Ovis aries: one gene and its partners. The main gene of each other region encodes a partner of the protein of the gene in region 2 in a complex. Links are inferred from orthologs where the notes say so. Each region holds a gene or a part of one and is shown on either strand. Other genes may lie near its edges.

Region 1 (5,114 bases), on a different chromosome or scaffold from region 2:
ACTGGTCACCATGAATTCATAGTTGGAACAAAGAAACAGACCTGAGACATCGCCAGCAGTAGCCTAAGTAGAGCTGCCCCCTTTCTCTGCAGATGTGGTGTACTACTTCCTGGGTTAGAAGGAATAACTGGGAGCTCTGCATGGATCAGACCCTTTAGGCAAGAACCAGTGTGTTAATAGTGTGAATTAGATGTACTGACTACCTGCTCTGCTGAACTGTTATGAAACTGAACTAATAAGCAGTTATAAAACACATACTTTGTTATGTGCTAGGCTCTGCCTCCTGGACTGTAGATAATTTAAGAAGACCTAGGGAATACCATCAGACATGCTAATTGTATTTGGGTGTTAACAAAAGCAGATCTAGACAAGCTGTCCACTTAATGGTACCTTTTGGTCAGAAAAAATTTATTTAAAGATTATGATCATGTAAAATTACTCAAACCTTCTAGCAAACATATTTTTTGAAAAATAAACTAAATGCCTTTATAAATGTGTGTTCTCTCGTGTTGGGTAACATGTACTGTTTGGCGAGTAGTAACTTTTCCCAGTGGCACTCCAGTCACGACAAGGCTTATCTGCATAGGCTCTAAGCAGCTCACTGTCCAGTAGCAGCACTTTCTCCAGTAATGGGAATGTTCTGTATTTGCATCCACTACAACAACCATTACCACAGGCAGGAATCGAGCATCTGAAATGTGGCTAATGTGACTGAGGAACAGTTTTAATTAGCAGCATATAGCAAGAGACTACCATATTAGTAACTCTCAGATCAAAATGGACATGCAAATTCTGCACACTATGCAGATTCTCCCCCCAAATGGATTCCAGGCTAAGAGTGTTTCAATGTCTCTTGGTGAGGAAAAACACAGTAAGTTGGTCCAATTTTATTGAAATCTGTTACAGAAGACAATTCAAATATGAAATACTGTCTATGGTTTTAAGGCCTATAGAAATCTGAATCATGTTTTACTGCAAAATAATATAAAATACATTAATTCAAACTACTGTAAAAAAGACTTTATGTCCTCATTAAATTACTTGCACGTTTTCCTAAATACTTACAACTGATTTAGAGATATCCAAATAGCCAATTTAAATTGGAGAAAACACACACTGTAACATGAAAGCTGTTCACATTGAGATACTCCAGCCCCAACTTCACAAACTCCTGGAAAGTAGGAGATACTTTGTTGCTAGATGAAAAAATCTCACTTAGGTCAGGGAGAATTACACTAGACTAACAGTTTAAAATGAGCAAGAATTCATGTAACATTAGAGAAATCATCTCTTGCCTTACAAATGCAAAATAAATCCTCTAGACTCCCTTCTGAGAGTTGTAGAGACCATCAGCTGACTGTCCAGCCTCTGAAACATAGCACAATTGGAGAAAAAACCAGACAGACTTCAATGTAAGAACTGGCCAAAACATTTCCCAAGGGAACCATATCTGATTTTGTTAAGCCATTCTCTCAATCTGTAAGCTCTTTAAAAAAAAAAACAAAAAAACGCAAACACCACAAAACACTCCATTCCCAAGATCAGTCTGAAAATGAAAAAAATAGATCTGAAGGCGCTCACATCTCACATTTTGAAAAATGTGTTTAGTAAATAAATATCCTTCAATCCTTGTCCCTTATTTCCTGATATACAAAGCATGTAAAGCAGGTGGTGTTCCCTGGGACTGTCTAAAGCTTACTTTTATACCAACTGTTTAGGAATTTCCATTAAGTTTTGCCTTTACAGATTAAAAATCAACACAGAAAAAAAAAACTTCAGTTATCAAGCATCTGTTCCCCTAATTTAGAGCAAAGCTACATAACATAGCAAAAGTCTACTTATTAAACTTTATCTTATGAAAACTTAAAATTTTTAAAATAGTAATTCCAGGTCCCAAGGTAGACCATGAACCTACTTAGATGCAAACATGGTAGACACTTAAAAATTTTTTCCAGTCTAAAAGAAGTGTGTTTTTGGCTGACACATCAACATTATACATGAAGTCTGTTGCTAAGGAACACAATTTTTGACCTAGTAACAGAAATCATTTTGGTAATCTGACACAAAACCAAGATTCTAAGATTTAATTCTACAGAATTAAAGGCATTTTTTTGGATTCTGTTCTTTAATAATTTTTAAGAGGAAAACCATGACAAGGCTTCCAGCTCAGTAGAAACATTGATTAAAGCTTGGTTTAAAAAAAAACAAAAAACAAAAGGCAGGTTTGCAGACCTTGGGTAACACCCGTCAAATTCAACAGGCCAAAGGAGTGGGCTTTCATGATGGGGTTCTCAACCACTCACTGGTTTTGGGCCAGTTTTCCATAGCCACCTCTTCCAGCATCATAGTCCTGACGATATTCATCTCGTACCTTAATTGAAAAGAACATGTTACAGTACAGAGATTAGTGTAACAAACATGCCTTCCAAAATATGTCAGACAAATAACTAAGCCTTTTCAGATGTCATAATGTAAACATTGTTAAGTGTAACATGATTTTGAGCAACTGATGATAAAGTTCAACTGCCCTGCAAAATTATTTTAATACTGCTTTTTTTTAAAAAAAAAAACAAACATCAGGCTTACACACTCAGCACTCAAAGATAGCACATTCCAAAGAATATTTAAACTATACTGAAATAAAAATGGAAAAGTTGTTTTAGTACATTCTGCTTTGCTCAACATTCCTGCAGGAGAATATTCAGCCCCTTGCAGAAGTCCAGTAATGGTTGCTTGCAAAGATATACTATTTAATGGTATTTTAAAATATTAATAATTTATCAACCCCAATGGGTGGATTCACTTCAAGCCAAGGTTATAGGCACAGTTATTTTGAGAAGAGCAAATACAAATTGACAAAACACATTGTTTAGGACTGGAATCCCAGGCAAAGGCTGAGCACAGAAAACCTTCCTGCGTACCTGGCCCCCAGAACGCCCACGGCCATACTGCCTGCCCTCCTTAAAGCCTGCATCCCAGTCTGTACGAATGATCCGGTCATCCAGACGAGTTCCATTTATATACCGCATGGCATTTTCTGCATCTGCTCTTGAATAGTATCTTAATTATGATTATTAAGGAATTAACATTTCTCCAGACATTTTTGTAAATAGAGGAAGAAACATCTAAATGAAGCTGAGTTAAAGAGTACAAAAACTAATCCAACCAGATGGAGATCAAAGACATTAATCTGGTTTATAGGCGTGTTGAGGTTGGTCCAGAAGCAGTCAAAAATGGTATCTCATCCTCAGCTACACTGATGGTTTTTTTGGATAATCCTGTTAAATACCCAATCCCACTATCTCCATATTTTCTTTTGCAAAATACAGATATGTTCTGTGCAGGTTTAAACCACGAACTGTTATCCAAGGAAACAACAGCATCTTTCGGTTCCCTGAATATGAAGCTGTACATTCAAGAACCACCTTAAAAAGAGGTCACTGCCTAAGACCTGCCATCACATTTCATTAGAAGGAAACACTCAAAAAGTATCACTCAAGTCAGTAGTTCTAAACCAGATCTACTAAATCTATTTTGGGGATGCTATTAAAAACTATATGTAAGTAATTATATCTGGATCTAGGAAATACTGATCTGGACCTTTCCCCTTGTCTATAATTACACAGGCGGGGAAACACTTGCTGAAATTCCAGTGTCTACACAATGCCTAGCACACATGGGCATTCAATAATTCTTTGTTGAATGAAATGAATGCTAAAGGGCAAATTGGGGGGAGGGGCGGGATACTGACAATGAAAGGTAGCCTTTCTTTTGGGTATTTGTCATCTTGATTATTGATCTTTGACCTTCAAGGCAAATGCAAAAACATTCCAGTTCTTAAACACTGATTAGTATCTAATATTTTCTTTGTCTTTTTTGTCCCCTGTGAATTATTTTACACTCTCGGCACCAGAGTGAAAGCAAAACCTGGGCACTCGTCCCTTGTGTCTGAAGGAGTGAAAGAAGCTTGCAGAGCCCAGAAATCAGACACCAAAGTCAGAAGTGGGGAATAGGTTCAAACATGGGGCTTCTGATTCAACCTGATAGTGAGCACATTTTATCTTCTTTTCCTTCTCAGGGCCTCCATTAGACAACAGGAAAGAAACATACCCAAAGAGTAGAAGAGGCCATCAGCAGATGAGAGATGCCAAAGCTAAAGATTAATAATGGGTGAAACAAAGTCACAGTAGGAAATACTCCTGAAAGGCTTAAAGGAGACAGCAAACCCAGGAAGCTCTTAATTCCAAGTTGATTAAGTAGTAAGGCTGCAAATAGGGTTTAATTTAAAGGTCTCTATGTGGGAAGAAGACCTTTTAGCAGGAACACATTTAATTCCAGGCAAATAAAGAAGATACGGTTACTGACTGAAGGAACTATGGCATTGTCTTTAACATCAGCAAGCTAAAATCTTTTTTCATTCTAGCATTTAAGAAACCCACATGTCCCAAAGGCAAGGCAACAACTTAAGAAGATCTGCCTAGATCCACAAAGTCAGCCTTTTCCCCCAGAAACCAAGGGATCACCAGAAATTTAAGGAAATTTTACAGCATAAATACAATGGAAAGAAACAATTCAAGGCACAGAAAATTCAAATGACATGGTGGACTAGGTCTGGAAAATTTCTCAAAATAACCAAAAAAGAAAATAACAGTTAAAAAACAAAATATGAAAGGGTAAATCCAGGTGGTCAAATGTATGGAGAGGTTGCAGGGAGAGAATGGTCACAAGTAAATATGGTTATGACATGTACAAGCATCAAGCTATATGCATCTACATAATACTATGTAGCTGTTATAAAAAGAGGTAACCTACATGTGCTAACATGGAACAATCTCTAAAGTAGATGAAAGAAAGTGCATACAATATGCTACTGCACATACACAGAATTACTTCTGGAAAGACACCAATGAGATTGACAGCTAATGTCTCTGAACTTAGAATGATAATGGGGCTTTTATTTTTCAATACACTCTTTGAACTTTCTGAAGTACCATAAGCATATACATTTTCAAAGATTTACTTAACCAACTATCAAAAAAGAATGGATTTCAGAACATAATGTATATGTTACTAGCTTTCCCAGTGTAAACAGTATAGACATATTGGACAGAAGG
Region 2 (5,055 bases):
AAACAAACTATACTCTTCCTCAGAGTAACAAACCCCTGCACTTCTATTTATTTTTTCTATAGTTAAGTATCAATTTAAAAAAAGAGTTACATTCTAAAAGGTAAGGATCTAATACTAAGTAGCTTAAAAGGGACTAACATGGGGTTTTGGGCCAAGGTTATGGACAATATAAATACTGTCTTACAAGAATAAAACAATACATCGAACAGCTACTGTATGCATATCCAGAATAATTGAAAAGCTTCAGATATTCTTACAAAGAGTCTAAGGAAGGAGTCAGTTTTAGCACTGGACCAATATCCACACACATTTATTTCCATTTTCACTGTCTATAAATCCATCTCCAGGTGAGCTTCATGGGTATAGCCTTGGATCCTGGACTCTGAAGTCTCAACAGATACAGTTTTAAGTTGTATCTGTGAGCTGATCCTCCCTTACCTCTCTGACCTCATCTCCTACAACTCTCCCCCTTTCTCACTCTACTACAGCAACACTGGCCTTCTTGCTGTTTGAAGATGACAAGACTATTCTAGCCTTAAGGCCTTGGCACTCAAGGCTCCCTTTGCTTAGACTACTGCTTTCCCCCACTTTTTAATTAATCAAATGTAAATACACCCTCACCTCCTGCAGGTTTTTGATCAGATGCCATTCTCAGTGAGGCCTTCACTGACAAACCAATACAAAACAGCAACTCCTCCCTGACAAGAGCCCTACCCTCTTTAACTGGTTTTATTTTTCTCCACCATACTTAACACCATATGATACACTGTATTTACTTGATTGTTCTCTGCCTGTAAAAGTGAGACTGCACCTTTTATCGTCGACTGCTGTACTGCCAGGAGTTAGAACTGTGCCTGGCACTGTTAAATATTTGTTGAATAAATTACTGTGTCTAGTCAAGCACACAGAGAGTCATGGCAGTTAGGGACTGGTAAGAGCTGACAATAATCCAGAAATGCTTAGATGCATCTATTTAACACAACAAAAATTTGGCCTATTTTAAAACAGCCTTCTATAATACTTAAGTTTTCAAAATTTCTGGTTTAAAAAAAAATTTAGTAGGCATTTAACCAAAAGAAAGTTACCTAAAATATGTGACTCAGATCACCATTTAGAATAAACCCTAGCTGATGATTACCCAAATTGTGGCAATTTACGAAAGCTCCAGACTTGGTGTAGTATCTAAGAGGGGTTATAAACTGCCCTTCAACTACTAAATTATTTATAGTAAACGCTGCTTAATTAACTCCTTATTTTGTTTTGTCTTTATTTATTCTGAGATTTCTGCACCAAATGAACAGTGATTTAGCTGCCAGAAGCTAACTCCTAAGAACGTTATACCAGCATCCCAATAACCAAAGCAAAAGTTGTTTTTCTACAAATTTACATCCAATTCTCCAGGATGCCCCTTGGAAAGATTTTCTCTCCCTTTAGGGATACCCTAGAAAGGAGATGATGAAAGAGTAGAGAAAGCATGAGAAGAACAAAGACAATGGGAAGAACTTTAAAAGACCCAAGTTCTCCAAATCCCAAGCGATGACTTCCAGGAGATTAAATTAACAAATCAGATACAAAGCACACGAAAACTATTTTCTGTGCCCTGTATGTACATTATGTTGTGTTTAATAAAAATCAAAGATACAGCATAGGAATACCTGTGTAATGTAACTCTCAACTTGCTTTCACTGGTATCTGGGCACTGCTAATGCTGTCTCCATGTTAATTACACTAAAACTGTAGACCTCAGGTGTGAGGTGAGCAGGCTGGGGTAGAATATCCTCCCAAGCCAAGCTCTAGGAGAAATCTGATACACTATTAAAACTAAGTGGGGGACATCCCTGGTGGTCCAGTGATTAAGACTGAGTGCTTCCTCTGCAGGGGGCACAGGTTCAATCCCTAACCCTAACTAAGATCCTTATACCACGGCCAAAAAAAGAGACAGCAACAAAACCCAAACCAACAAACCAAACAAAAAACCTTAAATTAGTGGGATTCTGCTCCTACCCCTAAGTTACCCCAACATTCAAGGAGAGAAAAATGTCAGTGGAGAAAATTAATTCAATTTTTTTTGTTCTGTACTTTTTATTAGAGTCACCATCTGCCAATGATTATCAGCTCTTAAGCATTATCAGGTGATAAAATACACATCTTCACGAGCAATTAGTTACATGTGTTACCTCTCACAAAACCAAAAGGTTCGTATCATTATTTCTAAGTTAGAGAGTAAGGTTTAAAGAGGTAATATAACCCAGGCAAGATCACAAAGTAAACAGCAGGGTCTGGCTTTGAAAAGTCCTCTGATTCCAAAGTCTGGCCTCTTAACCACCAAACTACACTCTTCTCGAAGAACAATACCCTAAACTATTAGTAACAATAACTGTTAGGTTTTCTGTTTGTTGGATGTGTTTCTGTTTCTTGACTGATTTTTGCAAGATAAATATCTTTTCTATTTTTAGCTAGCAAAATTATTCTTGGTTTTTATTACATGGCAACTCCATGATCCCCATGAGCTCAACCATCCAAATGGTTGATCGAAATCTCTAGGAGCTCTCCAGTTAGTCTTCCAACACTCTATTACACGAGGGAACTATGCTTACACTCAGCTCAAAATGTAACACAACAATCTACGTACATCTCTTTCTTAAGAGACCTCTTGGGTGTGGATAAGACCGATTTCTTTCCCTATCGCTTGGAAGAAGGCAAGACGACGGATGACGGGAACAGGAGAAAGCTCAGATCGGGACTCAGCAGATCTCTCATCTTTTGAGAGTCCTTTTTAAGTGCAATTTGAGGGTCAAAACGAGACACTGGGTTGAATAGGTCCCTAAGAAGCGGAGGCACAGACACAGGTGTAATTCCCTGCTCGGCGATGCTAAGAGCCAAATTTTGAAGAGTTCCTAGGGACCGGGGTCCACCAGGCCTCCCCGTGGCCAACGACTGAGGAACTGGGACCGGGGGAAGCAGGGGCTTTCCCAAAGTTGCCCGGCCGCACTCCCGCCGTGCCACCCCCTTCTCTACGCGGCTCCCTGAACGCTCCTAGAGGAAGGGCTTCCCGTCCCTTCTCTCGAGACCCGAACACCAGGGAAGCCAAACCTCCGCCCACCTGAGCGCGGCCTCGGCGGCCGGGCTTAGGGCACTCACCATCGTTCTCGTCGCTGTGCCGCCGCCGCGACATGCCGCACGCTGGTGCTCCGCGGAGCTGAGACACCGGTCACGAAGCGCGGCAGGAACCGTCAGGCCGCCGGCTGGCGGGAGGACAGCGGCGATGCGCGCGGAGTGGCCGGCGCGCAGGCGCTGTCGGTCGCGGCGGCTCCCGGAAGCACAAGGCAGGATGGCTGGATGGCTCCGCGAGCTCGGATCCAGGAGAGCCGGCTCTGGAAGCTCACCAGGCCGGTGGCTTCAGTCCAGCACGCAGCGACCCTCTCGGGTTACCTCCCCCTCTTGGCTGCTTCCTTCGCCCGCCTTCGCTGAAAGCCCTTCCGGGGCCACGCGGAGAGCACCGCCTCTTCCGCCAGGCCGAACCCCGCAGGCCGCGAGCCACGCCCGGAGGCGGGTCGTCTAGGAGGGACCCTCTAGTCCTCACCTCCACTTCAGCCCCTCTCTCGGGGCCTCCGCGGGGTTTTCCCGGCGGCCCTTTCGCCAACGGCCTAACTTCCGGAGCGAGGTGCGGTACGGCGTTCCTTCCTAAATACAGAAGGGGGCTGGGAGTGCGAGGGCTGCGAGCGGTGGCAATTGCTAGGCGGAGACTGCTCGGTGAAGAGAGATCTGAGAAAGGATCAGGACGGGCGGGTACGTGCTCATCTTTCTCCCACTTCCCGGCCTTTGCCGGCTGGGGAAAGCTGGGCGGAGAGATTAGGCCAAGCCCGGAGCGCGGGGTGAGGCCGGGGTGCGAGGCGGCTCCAGCGACCCGGGGACAGAAGGACCCTCCGAAGCGTGAGCCAGCTACTCCAGGGTTACTCTCTGGCCGTCATCTGATCTCTCGATCCTCTGACTTGTGGTTTAGGAAAGAACGAGTGATTGCTTTAGTAACGTTTTCAATACTTATCGTGTACCTCCATACGTGTATTTGAATATCCCTCGCTCTGACATCTCTGGTGAGCGCTATGGCTGCGTATCTAACTGCCTGGTCCTTAGCCATATGAAATTTTCACATCTCTGAAATGGAACTTTTGTTTCACTCTCCTGGCCTAATCTGTTCTTCCTTCAGTTCAGTCGCTCAGTCGTGTCTGACTCTGCGATCCCATGAATGGCAGCACGTCAGGCCTCCCTGTCCATTACCAACTCCTGGAGTTTACTTAAACTCATGTCCATCGAGTCGGTGATGCCATCCAGCTATCTCATCCTCTGTCTTCCCCTTCTCCTCCTGCCCCCAATCTCTCCCAGCATCAGGGTCTTTCCAATGAGTCAATTCTTCGCATGAGGTGGCCAAAGTATTGGAGTTTCAGCTTTAGCATCAGTCCTTCCAATGAACACCCAGGACTGATCTCCTTTAGGATGGACTGGTTGGATCTTCTTGCAGTCCAAGGGACTCTCAAGCGTCTTCTCCAACACCACAGTTCAAAAGCATCAATTCTTCAGCGCTCAGCTTTCTTCACAGTCCAACTCTCACATCCATACATGACTACTGGAAAAACCATAGCCTTGACTAGATGGACTTTTGTTGGCAAAGTAATGTCTCTGCTTTTGAATATGCTATCCAAGTTGGTCATAACTTTCCTTCCAAGGAGTATGCTATTGTTCCATGTCCAGTTCTAACTGTTTAAATTTCATGGCTGCAATCACCATCTGCAGTGATTTTGGAGCCCCCCAAAGTAAAGTCTGTCACTGTTTCCACTGTTTCCCCATCTATTTCCCATGAAGTGATGGGACCAGATGCCATGATCTTCCTTTTCTGAATGTTGAGCTTTAAGCCAACTTTTTCACTCTCCTCTTTCACTTTCATCAAGAGGTTCTTTAGTTCATCTTCACTTTCTGCCATAAGGGTGGTGTCATCTGCATATCTGAGGTTATTGATATTTCTCCTGGCAATCTTGATTCCAGCTTGTGCTTCTTCCA
Region 3 (4,409 bases), on a different chromosome or scaffold from region 2:
TCCAAGGTTGCTCTTACAGAGGGTACCACATTCTGGTGAATGTCCGCTGGTGCATTTGTTTTGTTTCTCTATCTCCTGTATTTCTGATGAACAGGAAGCTGGGCACTTTAGCATTCTTAATCATTTTTGTATTACTAGAATGTCATTTGGAAAAAAACTGTGTGGGTTTTTCATAGCTCAGAATTTGGTATCTTTTAATTTGTTAATTAAGGAACATGACGGCATTCAGCACATCTGATCAAAATAAAAAACTGGCTTCTTAGGAAGGAGGTGGTACTCGTGCAACACAGCTGCAGGATTTGAGAAATGTTGTGTTCTCTCTATTATACCAGTGGGTGATAAAGGTCATAGGAATGTGCTTTAACTGTTTTAATGTAAGGCTGATGGTGACACAAAATTAAAAGCCTTTTCTCTTGAGCTGATGCTCCATGTGAGCATATTTTGCATTTGCTCAGGTGTTTTTTTTTTTTCCCTCACTATTCACTTTTGGTCATTTTTTAAAAAATATGTTACTGAAATTCCTACAAGAAATGTTCCCGTTGTTGCACATTTGGAATCTGTATTCCTTAAGTGCTTTTTTCCCTCATTGGACAGTTATTTTGATAACGTGAATTTGTAATGAAGTGGATTTCCTTGGGAACACAACTTCTGAGTGATAGAACAGAGCTTATATTAATACCTTAATGTTCTCCCTCCTCCCCTAATATTACCCCTGGCCAGAAATGTGTACTTAGAAGGAACATTCTTCTCAGGTTTTGTTTGATGGCAAAATGTCACTCTTTTGAAAGATACAGTATGATGTGATGAAAAGGATTCTCTAAGATTCAAAGTCTAGGTTTTAATCTTAATTTTGCCATTTAGCAATTGTAGACTGTGAGAAGATTGCTTACTGTCTCCCCCAGCCTTGATTTTTTCATCTATAAAGTGAGGACTGTAATATGTGCGCTGCCTGTTTAATATTACTATAAAAGAGTTAAATGAAATGATATCTAACAAAGCTTTTTCTTGATAACTAAATCTGGACAAACAATTTCCAGAAGCAGGAGAGGAGAACATTTATTTCCTGTGAGGCTGGCACTAAGGCCAATATTTACAGGACTTACTCTTGACAGCCTGTCATTGGGTGTCACCCTGCTCTGCAGATGGAAGCAAGAAAAGGACAGGTCTGAGATCACACAGGACTCTGCCTTCAGACCCATGTTGTTTCCGCTGAATCACTGGTCTTTGAAATTCAGTTCTTCTAACTTGTTGTGGAGAAGGGAATTTAATGTGTGTAGATTTTTATCCTAAACTGTCAGAAACATTGCGTTATAATAAACAGTGGAAACATTTTTAATAGTATCCAATAATAGGGGAATGTTTACTTATAAGGACATTCTTAAAACAACTATTGTGTAGCCTCTATTTTTGTGAAGCAATTCTAAGAAAATTAGAAAATAAAATAATAGCTGAAAGGCAGAGTACAGATTTTTAAAGAAAAAGAGTCATGGGATAATAGATTGGTAGTTAAAACACCAAAATGTTACCAGTGCTTTGGTCTGTTGTGAGGGGTTAGAAATGTTTTGGCTTTTAAGATTTTTTTTTCTGTTTTTTCCAAATTTTCTGTTGTACATGGATTGACTACCTTTGTTACTAGAAAGAAAAATCAGAAGGTAGATATAATTTTATTGCAGGTAATTTCATATTTCATTCAAACAATGGTGTTATAATTTTTCTTTCAGTCCCTCTTATTGTCACTCTTTAGTCACTGTTATTAACAATCACAGTCTGTAGAGTTTGGAAGCCAGAACTGAACTGAGTGGGCTTGTTTTCAACTTTTTCTCATTTGATTTTATTTTAGTAAGTGGCCTTATTATTTTTCTTGTACAGAATACAAAGTTTGTGGAGATAAAAAGAGTAAGAATAGTTAGAGGTTAATTTGCTGTATTTTTTTAAAGTCCAGCTATAACGATCGCCCTCTTAAAGTAGTATGCACTAGGTTCTTAACTTGTGGATGGGAGAAGAAAAATTTCTCTCAGATTATCTATTTTCTGCATTTGTTGTAACACATTAACAATATGATAAAAAGACATTTCTTTAGGCCATTCCCGGGTTTGTTTTATTTAAGGATATAACCCATGGGAATGACATTTCCTCTTTAATAAGGTTTACTGTATTTGGAGGGAAAGGGGGGACTTCATAATGTAATTTAGTATTGCCAAGCGTTGTACTAGTTAGAATTGTTTTTATCAAGATGTTTGGATGGGTTTTCAGTAGACACTTGAAAAAATTGTGAATTTTCGCACTGTTGTGAAGGCAACATAATAGGGGGTTTAAGGATATGGTAGTTTTAATAAATAGTATTTGTTCTTGTTTATTAAAATTGTTCCTTTATTGTAGGACATTTTCTACCTTGAAAATCAAAAGGAATATGAAAATAAAAAAGCTGCTAGAAAGAGAAGAATGCAAGTGATGGGGAAAAAGATGAAACAAGCCATTAAAAACCTAAATTTTCAAGAAGATGATGATACATCACGAGAGACTTTTGCAAGTGACACTAATGAGGCCCTGGCCTCTCTTGATGAATCACAGGAAGGACATGGAGAAACGAAGTTGGATGCAGAGGAAGCCATTGAGGTTGATCATTCTCACGATTTGGACATGTTTTAGTACATTTTGAGGAATAAACCTTTCTAAGATAACATTGTAATAAACCATTTCTACTGAGATTATTTTACTTTGCACTGATAAACACAAAAATCTGGAGAGAACTGTTACCTTGTTTTAAATAAAATTGAATATGTGGGAGATGAATGTGATAAGAACATTTACAACTTTCTCATGTCTGACAAAGTATTTAAAAGTATATAGTGGAAGATTTAATTTCTTAATCTGTTGCATGTGCTAATTATTACTAGTTGATAATCAATTTTGTCCAGGTTATTATAACATGCCGTTCAAAAGTTTTTCTGATTTATCTTTGCAATGAACTATGATTGGTTTCAAAACATTCCATTAGAAGATCCTATTAAGACATAAATTGTTAAGCTATTACAAATGCATTCAAATTTAGTTTTTCTGTGTTTTAAGAACTCTTAGGCTTTTAATGATAGAAACTAAAAATAGGTTTATACTAGTGGCTCTTCCCACTTATGTGTGTGTTCCGAAGTAAATAAACATCAGAAGCTTTTCAAAGAAGTATCGGTTCATAACTTTAACTTTGTTTTTGACTTACTAGTTACTTTGGTCATATCTTTAAATACTGAATGTAATCCATATGTGCATAATTACAATGACATTTAAGAAATTCCCAGTGGGCCTGCCTAAGACAGTTTTACCTTATGTTAAGGAAGTTAGGTATTAAAAATGTTTCTTCTGCATGATGTTTAAAATTATTCATTTTTATTTAAGAAAATAAAGGTAGTTTACTTAAGGTGTCCCCAAGAGTTGACCACAGTTTACAGAGTAAGCAAAAATATGTAGGAAGCAGTTATTATCTATTCTTTGCAATAATGTACTTGAAGTCTTTCAGTAATTTTTGAAACACATAAATCATTGAAGTTGGATCTAAGCAGGGAAGGAAGAGGAAAATGGTTATTGGTTACATTTTATTCATAAAGAATGCAGAAATAAAATTGGAATTCTGGAAATCAATGAGATTCGAGTGATTTTATTTTTTAATCTCAAATTTTCTTTCATAAAATTGCCATAACCAAGGAAAGAAGCATTTTAAATAGGTAAGTATTTAAATATTGTCCCTAAAGTTTTTTTTAACCTTTTATTTATTTGAAGAACTTTTTTCTAATTGAAATACAATTGACTTACAGTATGAAATTAGTTTCAAGTGTACAGCATAGTGGTTCAGTATTTTTATGCGTTGTAAAATGATTACCACCGTTCCTGGGATTACTTTGTGTGAGGTGATTTTAAAGGTCTGGTATATTAGTAAGATAACAGTCAGAAATCTAAATGTCATGTATCCTTGTAAATACTACTGATTTTTCTAGTGAAAGTTAAAACAGTTTTTGAAGAATGTCTCAGGCTACTTCATCTTTAGTGGATGGCTCATTTCTCCCCCACCCTGCTTCCTAGCTTGTTTTCATTTTCTTAACATTTGTAAACTACAGATTTCTGGATTGTATTACATCCTAATGGTATAGAAACCAGTGCTTCAGTTTTTAAGGTTTAAAGTTTTGTTTATTAACATTACTCTTCTCTAAACCTTTCTGATTATCCAGATCTAGGAATGTCTGTACAAACTCTTGCTAGAAATATATTCCCTTAATACTGTCACCATACCAGCGTACATTACAGTCATTCTCCCTGCTCAGCCGAACATTCTATTTGCTGGCTAGTAGGATTAACAGTAATAGCCCTCTGTGTCTCTGGCTTAGTAATTTAGGTGCTCATCCTCACTCATAACCTTTATT

The links. The genes of interacting proteins can lie anywhere in the genome.
Region 1: the proteins of NCBP1 (region 2) and NCBP2 are in contact, whole or in part, in a crystal structure (PDB 5OOB), measured with the Homo sapiens proteins. The link is inferred for Ovis aries from reciprocal best matches to the Homo sapiens genes NCBP1 and NCBP2. Residues at the interface, in NP_002477.1 of Homo sapiens: Glu32, Cys36, Leu71, Thr74, Val75, Arg77, Leu78, Leu79, Ser324, His325, Trp326, Lys327, Glu328, Arg329, Lys330, Ile368, Val370, Met371, Thr374, Glu378, Asn415, His419, Ser422, Asn423, Gln425, Lys455, Arg458, Leu459, Ser460, Tyr461; in NP_031388.2 of Homo sapiens: Gly4, Leu5, Leu6, Lys7, Leu9, Arg10, Ser11, Asp12, Ser13, Tyr14, Glu53, Glu54, Gln55, Tyr57, Glu58, Leu59, Lys62, Ser63, Asp65, Lys67, Ile69, Tyr89, Asn96, Arg99, Tyr100, Asn102, Gly103, Thr104, Arg105, Leu106.
Region 3: the proteins of NCBP1 (region 2) and PHAX are in contact, whole or in part, in a cryo-EM structure (PDB 8PNT), measured with the Homo sapiens proteins. The link is inferred for Ovis aries from reciprocal best matches to the Homo sapiens genes NCBP1 and PHAX. Residues at the interface, in NP_002477.1 of Homo sapiens: Cys380, Lys381, Pro384, Pro388, Gln389, Leu391, Ala392, Thr395, Phe417, His420, Leu421, Asn423, Phe424, Gln425, Arg427, Trp428, Ser429, Asp432; in NP_115553.2 of Homo sapiens: Ile114, Asn115, Asn116, Ile117, Trp118, Gly119, Val121, Leu122, Glu124, Gln125.

What each region holds. Positions count from the first base shown.
Region 1 is NC_056054.1:192,213,394-192,218,507, forward strand, and holds the end of NCBP2 (nuclear cap-binding protein subunit 2), read right to left. Parts: intron 3,061-5,114; coding exon 2,805-3,060; 3' UTR 2,372-2,804; coding exon of another isoform or gene 2,300-2,371; 3' UTR 872-2,299; downstream 1-871. UniProt on the Homo sapiens protein: Component of the cap-binding complex (CBC), which binds co-transcriptionally to the 5' cap of pre-mRNAs and is involved in various processes such as pre-mRNA splicing, translation regulation, nonsense-mediated mRNA decay, RNA-mediated gene silencing (RNAi) by microRNAs (miRNAs) and mRNA export.
Region 2 is NC_056055.1:50,020,154-50,025,208, forward strand, and holds the start of NCBP1 (nuclear cap-binding protein subunit 1), read right to left. Parts: upstream 3,482-5,055; 5' UTR 3,176-3,481; coding exon 3,142-3,175; intron 1-3,141. UniProt on the Homo sapiens protein: Component of the cap-binding complex (CBC), which binds cotranscriptionally to the 5'-cap of pre-mRNAs and is involved in various processes such as pre-mRNA splicing, translation regulation, nonsense-mediated mRNA decay, RNA-mediated gene silencing (RNAi) by microRNAs (miRNAs) and mRNA export.
Region 3 is NC_056058.1:25,001,250-25,005,658, reverse strand, and holds the end of PHAX (phosphorylated adapter RNA export protein), read left to right. Parts: intron 1-2,379; coding exon 2,380-2,649; 3' UTR 2,650-3,633; downstream 3,634-4,409. UniProt on the Homo sapiens protein: A phosphoprotein adapter involved in the XPO1-mediated U snRNA export from the nucleus.